3 linked regions of the Oryctolagus cuniculus genome follow. The protein of the gene in region 1 purifies or fractionates together with the protein of each later gene. This does not show direct contact. Links are inferred from orthologs where the notes say so. Each region holds a gene or a part of one and is shown in the gene's direction. Other genes may lie near its edges.

What was found.
Region 2: the proteins of NUP98 (region 1) and SEH1L fractionate together in Homo sapiens (co-fractionation; 3 studies listed by BioGRID and IntAct, with this or other methods). This does not show direct contact. The link is inferred for Oryctolagus cuniculus from reciprocal best matches to the Homo sapiens genes NUP98 and SEH1L.
Region 3: the proteins of NUP98 (region 1) and NUP62 purify together in Homo sapiens (affinity purification with western blotting; 3 studies listed by BioGRID and IntAct, with this or other methods). This does not show direct contact. The link is inferred for Oryctolagus cuniculus from reciprocal best matches to the Homo sapiens genes NUP98 and NUP62.

What each region holds. Positions count from the first base shown.
Region 1 is NC_091432.1:63,101,829-63,105,865, forward strand, and holds the start of NUP98 (nuclear pore complex protein Nup98-Nup96), read left to right. Parts: upstream 1-1,237; 5' UTR 1,238-1,394; intron 1,395-1,543; exon of another isoform or gene 1,544-1,761; intron 1,762-4,037. Other genes in the region: PGAP2 (post-GPI attachment to proteins factor 2), read right to left, coding at 800-896. UniProt on the Homo sapiens protein: Plays a role in the nuclear pore complex (NPC) assembly and/or maintenance. NUP98 and NUP96 are involved in the bidirectional transport across the NPC. May anchor NUP153 and TPR to the NPC.
Region 2 is NC_091441.1:69,834,922-69,839,093, forward strand, and holds the start of SEH1L (nucleoporin SEH1), read left to right. Parts: upstream 1-1,372; 5' UTR 1,373-1,505; coding exon 1,506-1,616; intron 1,617-4,172. UniProt on the Homo sapiens protein: Component of the Nup107-160 subcomplex of the nuclear pore complex (NPC). The Nup107-160 subcomplex is required for the assembly of a functional NPC.
Region 3 is NC_091449.1:7,660,853-7,664,835, forward strand, and holds the start of NUP62 (nuclear pore glycoprotein p62), read left to right. Parts: upstream 1-1,183; 5' UTR 1,184-1,293; coding exon 1,294-1,319; intron 1,320-3,983. Other genes in the region: collagen, type I, alpha 1b-like, read right to left, coding at 1-50, 827-883. UniProt on the Homo sapiens protein: Essential component of the nuclear pore complex. The N-terminal is probably involved in nucleocytoplasmic transport.

The sequences.
Region 1 (4,037 bases):
CCAACACCAGTCCTTACTACTACTCCACTTTACAACAGGTCAGTTATCTCTCATTCCTCGCTACCACTGAAAACTCATCTAAGCGTTAGACAAGGCTCCCTTGTTTTCATGGTCCAGGAGGGGTGGTGGTGGAGACATGTTCTGCATACTCCACTTTCTAAACACTGCTGCTGTAACTCTGTGTGAGAGCCTCAGCCACCAGAGGTCTAGTTTCTAGAACAAGCCCACCTCTGCTTCTTGTAATACCAGGTTTCTCTGGGCTAGGCCCTGGCAGGAAAAGAGCAAGAGGATGAAAACGCAGCTCTCTGACCTCCAAAAGCCCCCAGCAAAGAAAACCAGAAAATGAATAAATAACAGGATACAAAGTGACAAGGTTGTAACAGAGACCTAACCAAGCATTAGGCAGCTTGCTGGGAAAAGTCAGCAAATGCGGGGACATTTGAACCAGGCCTTTAAGAGTAAGTACGGGTTCTCAACGTTCAAATGGGACAGAAGTTCTAAGAATCCTTAGTTGTACCGGAATCTAAGGTTGGCCATTCCCTTACAGGATCTCTAATGTTCATAATGTCTATCCTAGGGATAAAAGGAAAGGGTGTGTGCTGGTGCGGGCATGGGTTAAGAGACAAGGAGGTAGGGATTTAGGGCCTCTTAGCCACAGAATAGCTTTGCGGACAGATGCACCTCCCAGGAAGAGCGGCCAGCTCCGCACGTGGTCTGTCCAGGAAGTGTGAGCAGGGCGAGGAGGAAGCCTTCCCATCACCGCCCGCGGACTGGGGCAAGAAAAGGGTAGAATAGTTACCATGCCATCCTGGGGCCTTCCCTCTGATTGGCCCCTGCGCCCGCAGCCCGAGTCTCTCCGCTCGAAGGAAGGGGGCGGAGTCTCCAAGTAGCGTCATCACTCTTCTCCCACATCCCGCCCAGTGCACACCAGTCTGGCCACTCACTAGCCCCCTTCGAGGAGCCCTGTGTGACGTCAAGACTCTCTCCCAGCCAACCGCGGCTGTGAGGGGCGGGACTCCACGTACCTCCCACAGGCCCTCCCCTTTCTCTCCCCAACTCCATTTGACCCTCCTCTTCCCCCCCCTCCCGAAGACCGCCCTCACGTTCGGTTTCAAAAGACTCAGCGCCCAATGACTAACAGGGCGAACCTAGAGTGGCGGCTGGATCTGCCAATGCGCAGGCGGCGAGGGCGGAGCGCCCGGACTGAGCCTCTGACGGCGGGCGGCGTGTGACGCAGTCGGGCCCTCTGCGCGCTGCGCCTGAAGCGGCGGTCGGGAGCGGCGGCGGCGGCGGTGGCGACGGTTTCTTGGCAGCCTCGCGCTGCTCTGTGAGCGGCGGGCGGCGGACGGGCCTGGGCCCTCACTCCGGACACTTCCCCTCCCCCCCGCAGCGCGGTAAGTCGGGGCCGGCGGCGGCGGCGGCGGCGGCGGCGGCGAGGGACCGGGCAGGCTCCTCCTCCCCTCTGGGCGGGCGGGTGCGCGGGGCGTCCCAGGCCCGCGGCGCCGAAGTCTCGCGCCCGGGCGCGCACCTTCTGACCGGCGGCAGGGGGCGGGGCCCGTTTCGCTGCGGGCCGGAGGACCGGCTCTTCGTGTCCTCGGAGGGAATCGACTTCGGAGGGGTGTAGGCCCGGGGGTCTCCAGTTGCAGCCCACGCTTGGGGAGCTTCCATCTATCTGTTCGTACTCATTCATTCGCTTGACGGTGATTAGGAGCCCTCGGGGGCCGGCCTTTGCTGGGGCAGAGCGGAGAGAGCCAGGATAAGGTGTCTGACTCACTTCCTCGACTGTCGTGCGGGGTGGGCTTTATTTGCCTTGGTTTCCCCGTAGGAGAAATGGGCAGCCCGAGAGTTAGGGTGGGTGAGTCTGAAGTTTCTAGGCTTCTAAAGACAATATACAAGAATTAGGGTCGGTGCTGTGTAGTGAAAGGGTCGTGTCTTTTTCCCACGTGTTGCGTATCCAGCCAGATTTAAAAAAATTGGATTTCTGGCTAACTGTAATCTTAAGGACCTTAGAGATTATTCAGATCAACCCCCATAGCCTGCATCACATCCAGGTTTTATAGATGGGGAAACTGAAGCCCAGAGGCGGAGACAGCATTAGCGAATGCCAGATCTCTCGACTCAGTTTCGAAATGTGTCTGTTACCCCACCCTCCCTGGATGCGTGTCCCACTCTCCCATTATTAAGGATTCTCTTGGGGGAGGGGAGCAGAGGCATTCAGTAGTTAGAAGTAGACTTACCTTCAATAGCCTGACGGCTTTAGTTGCTACCAGCTCTGTCCATGGCCAGGTAGAAGCTTCATTAGTATCTCTTAACCTAGACCGCCATTACTAAAAAGTGGGTTTGAAAATGGCAATGATGTATGTACTGGAAAGGAATCTATACCACTGGGGCACTGGGGATCGTTGTCCAGTTTCCTATTAGAAATCTGAATTTTTGTCACTGTGTGGCTGAGGATTCAGCATACGGTTACTACAACAGTACTGTTGTAGGAACCATCACAAGACTTAAAAAGCTACACAATCACTTTGTAGTTGTACCTTGGAACTCATGGTTTGGCTCAGGTGCAGAATTCAAAGTGAGGTTTTGTGGTAGGGTAAGGCAAGGAAATTAAACTCTTTTTTTGGAGAATGGAATGAATTGGAAGAACAAAAGAAACAAGCAGTGAGCATTCTCTGTTAAGAGTCTTAGAAATTGCGAAGGAAACACTAGTTAACTGGGTGGCAGACAGTATATTTGCTTGGTGAAGGAAATTAAGCTATTTTAAAAGCCAAATCAGAGGTAGAACAGGATGAATGCACTAGGAAATGCTTCGACAGAATTATTTTGACTCACTTAAGATTTGATGAAATTGAATTAGTTGCCACGGTGGTCTGTTGACATCTGTTAGAGTGGCACCTTGCTGTTGTTTAGATGACAAAGCAAAAACTGAAAACTAGTAGTGCTTAAGAGAGGAAGGGAACTGTAGTCTAAATATTAAAATGTGAACAGTATATGTTTTCTGTGACATTTCTCAGTTAAAGCATCACCCTCTTCTGGGAAGCCTTTCCTGGCATTCTCTCTTCTAAGCTTCCCTAACACTTATTTGATGCTTCTATTTATAGCACATACCATTTTGTATTTTAGCTGTTTGTGTTTCTAGTAGACCATGGTAAAATGTTTTTTTATTTTGTACTCAGGTTGTTTTGCACATAGTGGGCCCTCATTTGCATTCAAGAATAAACAAATATGGAAGAGCTAAAACTACAGATAGTCAGCAAAGAGGCTGGGTATTTGTGGGCTTCTAAAATTTGGGGACCAGATAAGGGGTCCCAATCCGTTTATGTGTTATGTGGTACTTTGGTATTTGACTTTGTTTATGTCCACAGTTCCTGGATAACTAAACGCAAATAAGATTTTTAAGGAACCAAATTCAGAGCTTGGGAACAATTGGTCATATTATTGTAATATTTATATGGAGGCGGTTAATATAGGAAGTAGAAGTAGGACTGATGTTTAATTTCCAGTAAAGAGACAACTGTAATTGTGCAATTTGTTGAAAGGTTAGAGAAATAAGAGATTTAGATTGAACATTCAGAGGCAAGGTATGAAAACATCTACTGAGCAGGGTTTCTTTGGCACTGTTGACACTTTGGGCCAGATATTTATTGTGGTGAACTCTCTTTAGTCTTGTAGGATTTTTAGCATTTTAGCATTCCTGTCCCATCATTAGATACCCCTAACACCTCTTCTCAAGTTACAATTGAGAATGTCTCAAGAAATTGTCAGTTGTCCTTGTTTGAGACTACTGCTCTAGTGAAAACATTCTTAGTATTAGTAAAATCATACATACCTCTATCTTATCTTTATAGTCAGTTAATAAATTGCATTTTGTTGGAATAATTATCTATGAAAAACCCTTCAGTTGTCAAGTTCTGTAATTGGGAAGCTGAAGAGCTAAGAGTCCTAGAGTCACTTTCTGTAGTTCCTCATTTCAGTTCTGTGGTAGCGTCCCTTTCTCTTAAATGGGAGAAATCAGGGTCTTGTTTGAAAGAGGGTAG
Region 2 (4,172 bases), on another chromosome or scaffold:
CTCTATTCTTTGTACAACTTTGCTGTGAATTTTAAAGTGCTGTAAAAACTATTTTAAAAAAATGACATATATAACCTATGAAATACTCCATTGCTGCTCAGATAATGTCTTGGCAACTACTGATATGTTCACTGTCTCTGCTTAAAAATTTTAATTAAAATTTTTACAATATATTTTTTGTAGGTTGTTTGGACCTTGTATGAAATGAGCTTAGGTCATAGCTTATAGAAGTTAATTATCTCCAACTCACAGCTTTGGAGTCTCCTTTTTTTTTTTTTAAAGATTTTATTTATTTATTTATTTATTTATTTATTTGAGAGGTATAGTTAGACAGTGAGGGAGAGACACAGAGAAAGGTCTTCTGTCCACTGGTTCACTCCCCAAATGGCCGCAACGGCTGGAACCACGCCGATCTGAAGCCAGGAGCCAGGAGATTCCTCCAGTCTCCCACACGGGTGTAGGGTCCCAAGGACTTGAGCCGTCTTCTATTGCTTTCCCAGGCCATAGCAGAGAGCTGGATTGGAAGAGGAGCAGCTGGGACTAGAACCGGCGCCAATATGGGATGCCAGTGCTGCAGGCGGAGGATTAGCATACTATGCCACAACACTGGCCCCCAAGGGGTCTCCTTCTAAACTAGCAACAGAACCTCAATTTTAGTGTAAAAAAAAAAAGCAAGAAAATTTCAGAAAAGCCAGGTTATCCCCCCCGCCCCGTTTTAGATTTATTTATTTAAAAAGTAGGGTTACAAAGAGAGGAGAGTGGGTAGACAGAGAATAGAAACAATGTCTTCCACCCTCTGGTTCCTGCTCCAAAGGGCCACAACAGGCAGAGCTGGGCCAGACTGAAGCCAGGCGCCAAGAGCTTCTTCTTGGTTTCCCACATGGGTGCAAGAGGTCAAGAACTCGGGTCATCTGCTGTTTTCCCAGGTGTAACACTTCTTGATGCAACCCATCAGGAGAAAGATAGGACTAATAATTTTGAAAACTCTGCATATCCTCTCTTCTCCCTCAACCTCATCACCCCGATCTCTTTTTAAGGCCAATGAGCCTGGACTTGTGGCGTCATCTCCTAGTGTCTGCCCTTCGGTTGTCCCGACAGATCTCTGTTCCTGACGTTTTGACTTCGCCATTCGCTCCGTTCCCGAGGCACTTGTCTGGAGGGAAATACATCCAAATGTTCCCCCAAATTGATTCAGGGCCGAACACTGAGGCTGACACTTAAAACGTTTGAACTGTCCTTAATTTCCTCACTGCTTCCACTGCAGTTCAGGTAACGCCAAGCGCGCACAGCAGGATCTGCCGGCCGTTCAGCCTCCTCACGGACGCGCCGCGCAGACGCACTGGCGGCTTCGCGGGGCATGACGGGCAGGGGGCGGGGCCTGGCGCGCGGACAGCACGCGCCGTGCCCGTTCGGGCGGCGGGGTCTCGGCGGGCTGCGGGTTGCGCGCCACAGCCCTCCTCCGAGGCGGGAGGGGCGCACGGAAGAGGCGCGAGCGGGCGGCAGCCATGTTTGTGGCGCGCAGCATCGCGGCGGACCACAAGGATCTCATCCATGATGTCTCTTTCGACTTCCATGGCCGGCGGATGGCGACTTGCTCCAGCGACCAGAGCGTCAAGGTGCGCGCGGCGCCTTCGGTCGGGGCCGAGCCTCGAGGAGGGGGCGTGGAAGGGCTGCTCAGAGAACGGGCACTAGTCCCGATCTTAGGGCACGCCGCCAGGCACCAGGCCTTGAGCCAAACAGTCAAGGCGGGAAAGCCCCAGGCGCGAGGCCTGGGTCACTGGGTGGGGTGGCATGCGAGCACCCGGCGCACGCTGTCATCTCCGGGCGCCGGGAAAGCCCTGTCCGCCGTCTTATTGTGGGGTCACGGCTGTCTGGCGGGCCGCGCCCCCGTGTGTCTGCGCCGCGCCGGCGTCAGCCCGCGTGCGCGCTCCCGCCTCCTGCGGCGCAGGGTGCGTGCGACGGAAGGCGGTGGGTGCCGGCGAGGTGCGCCTGCGGTCGGTCCGCACCGCGCCGGGGAGTCGGGGGCTTCACATTCTGGGTGCCTGTGGGGTCCCCTCAGCTCACTGATTACGCGAAGAAAGAAAAATACAAATCGTTTTCATCCAACGGAGTTCTCTCGTTGCTATTAGGAATGGGAGTATTTGTTGCTTTAAGTTACTGTCAACGGCCGTAGGTTTCTGACAAGCGGAATGTCTTTGATAGGGGGACATTTAGGATTTAGACATTTAAGAGATACAAGATACGTGATAATAAACTTGAAGATGAAAACTGGAGTCTGGATTATTTGCATTCTTGACAATTCCAAAATAGCTGAACATCTGAAGGGTAGTTTTTTAATATTCAAGTTTGATACCAGTGATCCTTAAAAAACAATTACTATAAAAGTAAGTTACTGTTGAAAAACCATACTGTTGAGAGTAAATACCACATGAAAAAATTATTTCAACTACACAACTTTTTTTACAGTGTATAATTCTGTGACAAGTACACTATTTACCTTGTTGTAAACCTTTTCATCATCCTAAATAGAAACTACCCAGTAACCTATTCTTTCTTGTCAACAGCCCCTAGTAACCACTGTTCTACTTTCTATGAATTTACCTATTCTAGTTATCTGGTTTATTTCACTTAACATAAGGTTAAAGTTGCGATGGTAGCATGTTTCAGAATTTTATTCTTTTTTAAGTCTGAATAGTATTCATTGTATGTACTTAACCGCATTTTGTTTGTGCGTTCATCCATATGCCCTTTTGGCTGTTGTGAATAAGGCTGCTACGAACATTGGTGTACAAATACCTGTTTGAGTCCCCAGTTTCCAATTTGGGGAAATGTTTCTTATATAGTCATATATGAAAGTCATAAATCGGATGATAGGCATGGTCTCAGTATATTGATTAAGTATGTATTTAATTTATACTCTATATAACAGCATGAGATGAGTTGTATTGATTTATAAAGAGGCTGTAAGGGAAGAGGTTTTATTCCCAGAAAGTTTATTTTTTAAAAGATTGATTTATTTTACAGAGAGGCAGAGGAAAAAAAAAGAGAGACAGAGGTCTTCCATATGCTGGTTCACTCTCCAAATGGCTGCAGTGCCTGGAATTGGGCCAATCCGAAGTTAGGAGCCAGGAGCTTTTTTTGGGTTTCCCACGTGGGTGCAGGGGCTCCAGGACTTGAGCCATCTTCCACTGCTTTCCCAGGCCATAGCAGAGAGCTGGATCAGAAGAGGGGCAGCTGGATCTTGAATCGGGCCCATATGGGAGGCCGGCACCGCAGGTGTCGGCTTTACCTGCTGTGCCACAGTGCAAGTCCCCAGAAAGGTTTTTAAACTTAGAGTAATAACAAATTATATGTTTATATTTCATTAGTTTTTCTTCATTGTATTATGGCCTTATGTCCATTTCTTTCAGAGTGCTTTTTCTTACTAAAGAACCATGTACTTATTTTTACATGTGTGAATGTACACTTGCATTTGTACAATGTATATATATGTATTTTTCTGTTTGTATAAGTTATAAACTTTTCTACCATTTTAGAAAGAATTACAGGCTTATTTCTATCTTACTACTCATTAATGTTTATTGATTTCCTCTGTTCTTTTTCTTTTAGTGTTTTAAATAGTTATGGACACACACACATGTGATCCTCACATACAAAATTTTATATTGCTGCTGTGTCATAATGATTACCATTCCTAATGGCTTAATGTTTAATAATTGAACATACCACACTTTTTTTTGTTAGCTACCTATTACTGGGTCTTTTAGTTCCATTTGTAGTTAATGTCTGTCAGGAATAGCTTTACAATGCAACTCTGCATTAATTTAATTTAGCATTTTATATGTTTTGAATGGTTTCCTTAGACTAAGGAATTGTGAGATTGCCTTTTTGTAGGTTGCACCATTGACACTGCCAGTGAGAATATTGATTTGATGTGTGATTGCCCATGTTGCACATTATCACCACTTTTTTTAAAATTTACTACCTTTTTTTAAAAAGATTTATTTATTTATGTATTTGAAAGGCAGAGTTAAAGAGAGACAGAGAGAGAGAGAGGGAGAGAGGTATTCCATCTCCTGGTTCACTCCAAATGGCTGCAATGGCCAGAGCTGTACTGATCCCAAGCAAGTTTTTTCTGTCAGTTGTGGATGTGTGCAGAATGATGACAGTTT
Region 3 (3,983 bases), on another chromosome or scaffold:
CAGCCCGGTGGGTCCGGGGCTGTTCTCTGCTGCAGAAGACGCCTGCCTTCCTACCCTGCGCCCCTCCACCTAGAGGTCAGCCCCGGTTCGTCCGGGATCCGGCCTGTCCACTCTGAGCACGTGGTCTCCGGCCGGTCTTCCCGGGCCGAGGTCTCCCGTGGTGGGGGGTGTGTTCCGGCTCCATGGCTGCCCTGGGAGACTTGGCCGGTCTCCCCCACTTGCACGCGCAGGTGTTGGTGGGGTGGCGGCCACGCCGCTGGCGTGGAGGGGGCACGTTCCCCCCCCCCTTATGCACGGGGAGGGGGCACGTAATCTCGCCCCCCGCCCCCTTATGCACGGGGAGGGGGTGTTTAATAAGCCGTGCTTGGGAGTGATGGAGGTTGACAGGGAGGTTGAGAGGTGTACAGCGAGTCTGTGTGGCCTCGCCCAGCGCCCCCGCGAACGTGGTCCTGTGGCACGTTAGTCGCCAGCCCGGGCCAGGAGCCTCGGCACGCCGCCCTCCCTTCACGCCTGTCCCCTCTTCCCCGTTGGGCCTCCACAGCCCCCCTGCTCTGTGGCGGTGGCCCCACACTTGGCCTTGACCGTTTTGAAGACCGTTCGGTACTTTATGGAAAATGCTTCAGCTTTTTAAAATTTATTTGAAAGGCACAGTTACAGGAGGGCTACTGCATCCGCTGGTTCATTCTCCCAACGGCCGCAGTGGCCAGGGCAGAGCCAGGCTGAGGCCAGGAGCCTGGAGCTCCGTGCAGGTCTCCCCCGCGGGTGCAGGGGCCCAGGCGCCCGGGCCGTCTTCTGCGGCCGTCCCGGTGCATCCGCAGGGAGCTGCAGCGGAAGTGGAGCCGCCGGGGCTCGGCTCGGCGCACGGATGAGACGCTGGCGTCATGGCGCAGCTTGGTACGCGGCCTTTGAGGGGGTGGCTGGGTGGGCTGTTTTGAATAACTGGAAGTGCAGATGCCCACCAGGAGAGCCCCGCGTCCCCCCGCCCCCAGCAGCTTGACTCAGTGGTGCTAAGTGGACGCCAGTTAGCGCCCTGCGCTGCTAGTGCGCGGGTGGGGCCTCCGCAGCTGCCTGCCACCCGGGTCGTGGTCTCTGGGGTTGGGGCGCTGGCCCCTTCACTCCTGGGCCGTGGCTGCTGGGACTCCTTTTTTGGTGCGGAGGCACCTGTCGGGGAGTGAGGCGGCCGATTGCAGGCAGGTTGCATCAGCTGTGGCTCTTTGCTGGGAGGAGCGAGAGGATTCTCTGGGGGCCCAGGAGCACCTGGCAACGGCTAGGCTCCCTCCCGCTTAGCCCTGCATGAGGGAGAGGCCCCACGCAGCCTGGTAAGGGGCTCGGAGGGGGAGGGGACCAGCCCCTGTGTGGGGCCCCAAGAATCCAAATGGAGCCTCGGGCGTGGGCCAGCTGCGGAGACCAGGCTGAGGCGCCAGGAAGTAGGAGAGGCGCGCAGAGCCCACCGTCAGGGCCCGGGGCCCTGAGCGGGCTCCAGGCCTGGACCTTCAGCTCACACCTCAGGTTTGCCGAGCTGTGTGGATCCAGCCTGCCCTCCCCTGTCACCTGCGCTGTTGCCGCAGCCCCCCGTGTTTCCCAGTCAAGGTAGCGCTTGGCGTGATGGAAAGGGCCCCAAGTTTTGCATCAGCCAGGACCCAGGTTCCAGTCCCGAGCCTCAGCACGGGTCCGAGCCAGGCGGCCCGCACACCTCCCACCTCCACCGCGTCTGGGGCCCGGCTCAGTGGCCCAGGAGAGCTGCCCTCCTGAGCAGGGCTGGGGGCCGGAAGTGGGGCGGGTGAAGCCCAGCGCCGACGGGGCGCAAGGTCTGTGCGTGTTCACTCATCCCGCTCCGTCCACACTTTGTTCTGTATTGGAGGGCAAGGTCAGGCACCTCCTCCCCAGAATTGTCCCTCACGGCCCCAGGCTGCGACCTTGGAAGTGGTCAGGACATTTTTGTAAAAGATTTCTTTTTTTTTTTTTTTTTTTTTTTTTAATTTGAAAGTCAGAGTTACACAGAGAGAGGGAGAGGTCTTGCCTCTGCTGGTTCACTCCCCAATTGGCCACAACAGCCAGAGCTGCGCCGATCCAAAGCCAGGAGCCAGGAGCTTCTTCCAGGTCTCCCATGCAGGTGCAGGGGCCCAAGGACTTGGGCCATCTTCCACTGCTTTCCCAGGCCACAGCAGAGAGCTGGATCGGAAGTGGAGCAGCCGGGTCTTGAACCAGTGCCCATATGGGATGCTGGAGCTTCAGGCCAGGGCGTTAACCCACTGTGCCACAGCGCCGGCCCCCAAAAGAGTTGTTTTTGCGCAGAAGTTGGAGATTCAATACAGCGGCTGCTGCGCAGGGTCAGGGAGGGTAGCAGTCACGCAGACCAAGGGTGCAGGGGCTGGGGGTGGGCGTCCTGGCAAACAAGGGCAGAAGGCCAAGGCCAGCTCCGCTGCAGAAAGGGCAGCGTGGGGGTGGGCAGGCGGTCAGGCTGCCACGTGGCCGGCGGCTCAGAGTCCCCGCAGGAGCGCTCACAGCCAGGCCAGGCCCCCGCTGCCGAGCTGGCTGGGCATCCTTGCTGTCACCCTCTCTCGGTTTCCTGTTCTACTGTCACAGGTTGCCACGCACTTGGCTCCCTTAGAGCTCTGGAAGGAGGGGACTGAGGTGGTGCACAGCGCTGCGCTCCTGGGGCTCGGGGCAGACGCTCGTCCCCAGCCTGCGAGCCCACCTGTGTCCTTCAGCGGGGGCCTCTTCCTCACCTCCTATCGTGCCGTCGCCTGGCTCCCCCATTGCTCCTCCTGCCTCTCCCTGGAAAGACCTGCGGGCCTGTACGCAGGGCCCGCCTGGGTAACCCAGCGCAGCACCTGTGACACGGAGACAGGAGGAGGGCGGAACTCCAGCTGTGGACTGGCGAGGCCGTTGTGCCGCCTACCCTCCTCCCCGAGCCCCAGGTCCGGGCCTGGGATAGAGGACAGGGCCAGTTCTGGGTTGCTCCGTCCCTTGGCTGCTGTCACTCGCCCTGGTGGCCTGTGCTGCTGTCCCCTCCAGGGAAATGGGGGTGCAAGCAGAACCAGCACCTGGCTCAGCAGGTGAGAGCTGTCCCCCCAGCCCCGTGGGCCTGTGTCGGGGACACAAGGAGTACCTGGGCCCCTGGAACGGCGCAGGTGATGTCTAGGGCTGGCCCATGGTCCAGGAGCGGCTGGTTCCACGGAAACGGAAACGCTGGATTTTTTTTTTTTTCCTGTGAGATCGCAGTCTCAAAGGACAGCGAGTAATTCAGAAGGAACGCGGGAAACCGCAGCCGGTTAATCAGCCAGGGGCTCTGAGCCGGAGGGGCTGGGCGCTCCTGTGGTTGGCACGTGTCCCTGGAAAGGCCTCACAGGACACTTGGGGCCCCCTGGTGGTCCCCCCCAGCAGGTGCATGGGCAGGGCCCTGGGTTCCCTGACTCCTGCCCACCCTGCCACAGCTGGAAGAGTTGGGTGGCAGACGAGAGCAGGGCCCCTCCTCACTCCAAGCCTCTTGGGCCCCAGGGTGGGAGTCCCCTTGGATGCCTCTGTGAGAGCTGAGCTGCCCCAGGAGGTCGTGCGACGACCTGGGGTGTCACAGAGGGTGGGTGGGGTGCTGTGTGGCACCGAGGAGAGGCTAGCTGGGAGCCGGGCTGTGGTCAGAGTCCTAGTGAGCTGTGTGACTTCGGGCAAGGTCCTCAAGTTCTCTAGGCCTCGCTGCGCTTATCTGTGAAGGGGGAGTGACCCCAGTTCCCACCAGTGCAGATAAAGCCCGGAAAAGAGGACCTGTGTCCCTGAGATATTACTGTAGCCATTAGACTGGGGCAGAATCCGTCACCCTGCCCCCCACGCTGGCTGCTTTCCCTGGTTCCCAGAGAAACCTCTCCATGGCAACCCCTCCCTCCCTCCCCCGCTGACATGGTGCCTCTCCCCTGGGGAAGCAGGTGTTGATGAGTGAGGCGGGGTCTTGCCCCGACACGGCCCCTGCCCCCTGCTTCAGCCCCTCT